2 linked regions of the Solanum lycopersicum genome follow. The protein of the gene in region 1 interacts with the protein of each later gene in a pairwise test. Links are inferred from orthologs where the notes say so. Each region holds a gene or a part of one and is shown on either strand. Other genes may lie near its edges.

Evidence for each region. The genes of interacting proteins can lie anywhere in the genome.
Region 2: the proteins of B3 domain-containing transcription repressor VAL2 (region 1) and replication factor C subunit 2 interact in binary tests that used the Arabidopsis thaliana proteins (3 or more experiments, as listed by UniProt). The link is inferred for Solanum lycopersicum from reciprocal best matches to the Arabidopsis thaliana genes HSL1 and EMB1968.

The regions. Positions count from the first base shown.
Region 1 is NC_090809.1:57,733,522-57,737,735, forward strand, and holds the start of B3 domain-containing transcription repressor VAL2, read left to right. Parts: upstream 1-1,335; 5' UTR 1,336-2,209; coding exon of another isoform or gene 2,210-2,231; coding exon 2,232-2,322; intron 2,323-4,196; exon of another isoform or gene 4,197-4,214. UniProt on the Arabidopsis thaliana protein: Transcriptional repressor of gene expression involved in embryonic pathways, such as LEC1, ABI3, and FUS3. Repressor of the sugar-inducible genes involved in the seed maturation program in seedlings.
Region 2 is NC_090810.1:6,258,965-6,262,623, forward strand, and holds part of replication factor C subunit 2, read left to right. Parts: intron 1-60; coding exon 61-130; intron 131-195; coding exon 196-269; intron 270-3,659. UniProt on the Arabidopsis thaliana protein: May be involved in DNA replication and thus regulate cell proliferation.

The DNA of each region.
Region 1 (4,214 bases):
AACCTGATTGACTTAACTTTTTGAAAATCTCTCTATGTTTGTTACATATAGGGAAAAAAAAAAGTAATGTCAGTCACTCACCCCTCATCACCTAATTTTTTAGTTAATGGTTTTTGGTTAAAGATTTGATAAGCATGATGTCATTGTAGTATTAGGATATAGCACGCGTAGAAGAAGTAATCAATTAGGGGATTGAATAAACTAATTTTGATTTGTTTACTTATCTGTTTAATTACGCAATGATGATTAATCTTAGTTCTAATCTTATCGTACACACTAAGCCAAAAGAACCATACTTGAAAAGCAAAGTGGATTTTTGTCCTTTTGATTAGGACTCCCACTTCCTAAATGAGCCATTTGTTTTATTGCACCGTTTTTTATTTTATTTTATATGAGTTAGTTCGAATCGGTAGAAAATTTTTAAATGAAAAGAAAACTTTTGAAATTTATTTGAGATAAGTGATATTTCTTGTGTTTAAAAAAAAAAGATTTTATTTTCTTCTTAATCTGTTTAAAAAAGAATGTTTCGTTTTTTTTTTTACAATAATTTAACTTTAACTTTCCATGTGACATATTTAAGACCACAAGATTAAAGAACATTTTGATATATTTGACATAACTTTAATTTAGAACCACAAGATTAACAAGTCTTCTTTCTTTTCTTAAATTTCATTATAAGTCAAACTAGGTCATCCTTTTCGTTAATATCCTTTTTTTAACGAAGAGAGTAGATATTTGTGTTGTTATAAGTTATTTTATAAAAAGTAAAATAAATATTTTAATGTTAAATTGTTACTTGCTATATAAACATGTCATTCTTGTTTGAGGTAACTAAAAAGAAAAATAAATCAAATTTAGAGAAAAATGTACAAAACACTTTTTTTATTAAAAAACTCGTTTAAGACCCTTTTGTAGAGCTTTCATTAAAAAACCCGTTTAAGACCCCTTTGTAAAGCTTTCAAATTTCGTACTTACTTTTTAAGGGGAGTTATTTTCTAATCGATTTTAAATTGTGAAAAGTTGATTATTACTATTTTTTCAAGTTATTTTCTTTCACACACAAAACTTCTCTACACTAATAACAACAACAACGGAGATTCTAGAAAAGATATAATGTATGCATGTATCATCTTTTACCTAAAAATAGAGATATTATTATGGATTAAAGTACATGAAATATTATACAAACAAGATAACTAATGGTAACAAGACAATGATTATAATTGAATCATGTGATGACCAAAAATATAAGATAATAAGTAATAAAAATCAAAGAACTAGAAATTACGAGTGCAACACTAACTACTAATATGAACAGATGATAAAACAACACACGATGACCTTCTAATTTTCTATCCTAATTTGTGTCCTCCCTAATCTTTCTACGTAAGATCCTAAGCATCTATTTCCAGCCCTCATCAACACACGTCCATTCATACACATTCATTTCTACTATTTTCTCGTTTTATCTCTGTTTATATAAATTATCTATAGCCAATCACTCACACATCCACACTAGAACATCAAAACATATCACTTTCAAATGTTCAAAATTATCTCGATCTTTAACTTCCGCACCAAAGCCACTTCCAAATGTACCTATTTTAATCCTATCTCTTCTAGAACAACGAGAGAGGTTACAACATAGTTGGTCTTAACTATTACTTTGCATTTAGTCACAAAACTTGTATGTTTTTGATCAAATTATATAAACATAAGCTTTCTTTTCAATGTTCAAAAGAAAAGCTGATATGATAAAGTGAAAAAGAAATTGAGCAGAGAGAGACGTTAGTGGAAGAAGAACTGAAAGAGAAAGGCGGGCGACCTTTGCTGACCCTTCAAGTCTCTCCCTCCCTGCATGTCCCCTTTTCCATTTTTGAACTGTTTTACACTTTACGCTTCTCTCTCTCTCCCAATTCCACCGTTCCGGTACCGGAAATTCAACAAACTTCCCTAATATTTCTCTATCACAAATTTTAAAACAGACCCACAAACACTGCAGCTTACTAGCTTTAGTTTTATGTCTTTAACTTTTGTTTTCAAGATTCTTGCTTCACACTTATTATTCAACTATTTCATACTTGGGTTTTTCTAAAGACTTCATTTTTAGCTTTAAAAAAAAACTTTTTTTTTTTTGGGTTTTGCGTATGGAGTATTAAGAGGAAGATTATGCTGTATTAGGGCTTGATTAGAGGTAAGGATTTTAGGAATGGAGTCGAAGATTTGCATGAATGGACTGTGTGGGACAACTTCTTCAATTGAGTGGAAAAAAGGGTGGCCTTTGCGATCTGGTGAATTTGCGACCCTCTGTGATAAGTGCGGGTAATTCAATTCAGATCTCACTCTCTCTTTATACTTAATTTATATATGTTTGTAAATTCAGTTTTGTTGTTCTTTTTGTTTTGTAGAAACTGGTTTGCCTAGTGCTCAACTCTGTTTGATCATTTTATATGATAACATTACCATTTAGAATGTCAAACAGTGATTTTTCATTGTAAAAATGTTCTGACTTATATACTCTTTGTATAGGTTTTGAATTTGCTTATTTTATTCGAGAAAAGATTAAGGAATCAATGTCCTACTAATTGAGATGGTTTGAAATTTGTTTATTGAGCTGATTGTTCTTTTTTGAAACGGAAGAAGTATTTACAATCTGAACAGTTTCTGTGTTTATGTTAAGGTTACTGTGTTGGTGAATACTGTAGCAGCTCGGAGAATTATCCTTTTTGTTTTGCTGAAAGATATTTGCTAAATCATGTTCTTTTATCCGACTGTTCTTTAATTCGACTAAACAATTACTTTACCTTTTCAAATTAGAGATTGCATATTCAATTTGAGAGAATTAATTCTATTGGGATAATATGTTCCTAGTCCAGTTCATGCACCCTAGTAATGGTTGCTCAAACTGACTCTAGTTCTGGAAAGATTAAAGATCCTGCAAGATCAAAATGTGGGAAAGATAATCCTTCTTCTTTCTGTTTCACTTGTTGTCTTTTAGGAAGTCAGTGCAGATTAACCTGCTTACGTTCTCCTAAGGATTTGTATTATCTGTGATTCTTGCTGTGTCATAGGGAGGTTTTTCTTGGCTGAGATCAGGAGCATGGGCTTATGATCTAAGTGAGGCCGTTGAAGCGAGCCAGAATTTTTAATAAGGGGGTTCAGAATCTGAAGAAATAAACACATGAAGTAGCCGAAGGGGGTTCGACATCTATCGTATATACCTAAAAATTTATTTTAACCATGTAACAATAATATAATTTTCCGCCGAAGGGGGTTCGGATGAATCCCTAGTGATAAGGTGGCTCCGCCCCTGTGTTGAAGTGATGGCATAACTTTTTTTTTCTTTCCAGAATTGTCTATTTGGTTCCATGTTAAGTTACTGTGGAGCAACTTTGTCTTTTTTTGCTCTTTTTGGCCTTTATATGAAATAGAGATTGCATGCAGTGATTTCACTTACAGTAAATAATACAGTGCTGATGGAATGAAACTATTTTATTATTAATATTTGTTATTTTTTTCCCTTTTGTTTTGTTTTGTTTGTTTGTTTTACTTCTGTTATTTTTCTGTTTATCTTTTGTTTCTTGGTCAGGATAGATGACTGGTAGTTAAATTCATGATAAACTTAGATCTTTTGCAATCTACCGCCTGCATTGCCGAAAGGAAAAACATTCACTTTAACTTTGGAATAAAATGTAGCTAATGACAGTTTCACCATAAACTGAAAACTGAAACTAATGCAGAGTCTTAGGGCATCCAGTTTGAGAAATTATATCTGGAACGCTTCTAGTGTAGACACATTTGCATAAAACTTATTGATGCCAAAGCAATTCCTGGTATAGTCGATGTAAGCACAAGTTGAATCGGACACCACTATTATTAAAAAAATAATTAAAAAGATTCAATGGCGATATATTGGAATATGGTGGTAACCAATTAGAATTGAAGACCACGTAGTTGTAGAGTTGTATCACTGACTCAGGAGCCTGCCCATTCATTAATGAGCAAGATTCTCTTCAGTATTGAGTGGCAAAATCACAAACCACTGCCATTAGTGGGTTGAACGGAAACTTCTGAGCCCTTTTTTCTTAAAAAGTTAAGATGGTTCGAGGACCAACTTGCGCTAGCATATGTTAACTAATCCATCAGCACAGATATCACATAATTCTCGGTAATTCTGACCATCATGACTTAGGCAGACTGCAGATGGGATGAAT
Region 2 (3,659 bases), on another chromosome or scaffold:
GCATTTTAAGCCTCTCTTTTACTATAATGTTTAACAACATATCTTCCTTACTCATTTCAGTGGTTATCCTTGCCCACCTTTTAAGATCATAATCCTTGATGAAGCAGATTCAATGACTCAAGATGCTCAAGTGAGTTGCCTTTCTCGTTTTTACTAATAAACTACATAAATTTGATCTAACACCTGGATTTGCAGAATGCCTTGCGACGAACTATGGAGACATATTCAAAAGTTACAAGATTCTTCTTCATTTGTAATTACATCAGCAGGTTTATTATCATTCTGCCTTTTTTTCTAATTTATCTTATTTCGATTTCCTTTGCTCTTCGTAGAGGTTTGTTTGTAAATAACAACACATTAACTGATTGTTTTCCTACGTAAATTGATTATTCTGCCCTTGGAAATCAGCTTTACTGTTTCTGTTGAACTCGTTTTTGTTGATGGAAGAAAATCAAATATAAAGAATGGTTGTATATTCTACGTTCTGCAACTGTAGAATTGGCGTCGGGATTGCCAAACTCTTAAATAATTCTGGAATCTGATTTAAGCCTTCTTGTCAGTTCCATATAACAAGTAGATCGGAGTTTTATCTTTAAATGATCCTTGAATAGTTGTGGTGAAACTCAATTAAGTTTTGCTCTTTTAAGTTTTTGCTATTTGCCCCCCTTTTCTCTTCTAGGTATAGGACAGCTGAAACAAGCTCAGTGATGGAAGTCGATTATGTGGCTAATTGGAAGTAGTGCTTCATTTCAGACTTATCTGTCCATGAAATCAACCTTGTATTTTCACTTGAAATGCATGTCGCCTATTTACAACATTTAATGAAATTATTTTGCAAACAAAACTTGGCTGATCCTTTTTTTGGTTTATTTGTTTGGGGCATCCTGGTGTGAGAATTACTGGAGACATTAAATAGTTTAACTATGATATGAATATTGGTGAATAAGTGCCAATTTACATGTGCAATTGGTTTCATCCACTCTCTTTGGTTTACTTATTTGTGCCTTTGGCTTGCTTTTTATTCAGTTTGATCTCTTTTAAGCTGTTTGAATGGTATGCGTGAAAATATTTTGGAGTAGGAACAAAATTGTTTCACTCTAAAGATATGATAATTTTACCATGATGAATCTGAGATATTAAGGGCTAGTTATGACATTGTTTTCTATTCTATGGTATTATAGAGCACCATTATGTGTAGGAGAGGTAAACTCATTAATCATAGGTAGTGCAACCAAAGACCACTTTTTGGGCTTGAGTCGGTGAGTATTTTGGAGATGATTTTGTACACTCGACCAATTAGGCTAATGGGTCTGAGGTCAGTGAGCTCCTTAGCTCCCATTTTTTTTGAAATTAAAGCCAGATAGGTAGAGTTGAAGCTTTTCTCAAAGACGCACCTCTCATGAAAGTTCTTGACTGTGGCGATCACATCTTTTCCAATAACCTCCCAACAATGGGTATAGAAGGCCATGGTAAAACCATCAGGAGCAGGAGCTTTGTCACTAGCACAAAGTTTGACACTATCCTTATCTCTTGATCCTCAAATTCCTTCTAAAGCATGAAATTATCTTCAGCATTAATTTTGTGATTCATCCTGCACCCACCTGAAGGTCTCCAAGTTTCTGATTCTGAATAAGTTCTAACAGAAAACTACAATTTCCTTCTTTATGTCTTTTGGATTCCTGAATACTTCACCCCCCACATTTAGCTCATCAATATTGTTGTATCTTCTGTGTAAGTTGGTGCGCGAGTTGGCAGTTTTGTGGGAGAACTTGGTGTTGTTGTTGCCCTGTTTTAGCCAACTAACCCTTGATCTCTGTCTCCATGCAATCTCCAAACTCTTAACAGAAGCTTAGCTTTTGAGTGGATCTCCTCTTCCCCAAGAGCTCTTTGATCCTGGACTTCCTCAAATTCAGCAAATTGATTGACTATGTTCTCTTTCTGTAATGCCAAATTTCCTTGTGCTGATTTGCTACACTCTCTCAACTCAATTTTAAGTGTTTTCAGCTGAAAGGCTAAGATGAAATCTGGCCTTCCTTCACAGTCAAAGGACCTCCACCATTCCTTGATTCTATCTAAAAAACCCTCAGTCTGCAGCCACCAATTTTCGAATTTAAAATAGGACCTCACAGGCTACCGAAACCATCAGTCTGCAGCCACTAATTTTCGAATTTAAAATAGGACCTCACAGGCTACCAATTCCCACATTGTATTAGAATTGGTGAGTGATCAGAAGTGACCTTTTGCAGGATTGATTGCTTGTTATTTTTGAAGCCTCCATTCCACTCATCAGACACTAGAAACCTATCTAGCCTAGCTGCAATTTCATGTTCCCCCATGTGTAACTTCTTACTGCTAATTGAAGGTCCAACAAGCTCATATCTTCAATGAAATCAGGGAGGTCAGACATCAATTTTGTGATTCTTGAACAATTTTTCTTCTCAGAGAGGAATCTAACTGTGTTGAGATCCCCACAAACTACCCAAGGGCCGTTGAACAGGCCTCTAGCTGACCCAACTTCCCACAAATCTTCTTCTCTTTCTTCTCTACTATTTGGAGCATAGATGCCAATAAGTACTGGTGAAGTCAAGACTTTTACCTATGAACTTGCAGGATATAGAGCATGCTTCCACACTGCTAACCTGCCCTGTCCAAACCTTCCCGTCCCAAATAATTAGGATGTCCCCGCTAGTACCACGAGCTTCAAGTTGACAAAATTCCACTCCTCAGTTTGCCCATAAATCTTTAATAATGTTTCTCACATCCCCTATAATCTTGGTCTCTTGGAAGCAATAAACATCAGCCTTCCACCCTTGGATAGATTCTTGATTACACACCTCTTATTTGCCTGATTCAGGCTTCTCCATTCCATGAAATTATCTTGACTGTCATTTATCACTAGCTAATGTTTAACCCTCCCTGCTTCTGGTACCATTATTTCTGAAGTTGCTCCCACATCCTAGGCTCTTAAGTTCTTTTGAGCCTTTAACTACTGAAGTTGAATTCAAGTTCTTCCCACCCAGTCAGTGTTATTCTGTCTCATACTATTGATCTTCATAAACAACCTCGTAGCTTCCTCTTTGCATCCCTTAGTGTTTACTCCGAAATCCTTTGCTAATTTTATGTTCTGATAGATCCAAATCGGAACGTCAAGCTCTGAATCATCTTCTTCCTCTGGACTACGTGGTTTAAAGGAACTACATCTTCAATTATTGTCAAAGAGTAGTTCTCTTCACCTCTCTGTGAATCAAGTTTTTGAAAGCAATAGTTTTCCAAATGCAGAATGAGAATCAGGAAGGTCTGGGCACTTGTTTGACACTTCCACTGTTTCTCTATCAACATTATCTTCTGTATCAGCTTCCTTCTCCATCGCATTTTCTTCCAGTTCTGTTCCTTCTATTTTTTTTGCACCTTGAAGCTGATGGAGGAATAGAAGTGGCTTCAAGTTCCGCAGTGATTGGCTCATTTAGCTGAGAGAAGGAGTTTTCAATGAGAGGCCCACTTAAAATGAATTGTGCCAGCAGATCCGGGCCCATTTTTTCGCCCTATCTTACATATTTGGATTTCTTAGGAATCGAATTGTTGAACGGTACAAAGGTTCACGTGCTGGTACAGCAGGTTGTTTCAAAATTGCTGGATCCTACGAGGAATCCACGTGTGCA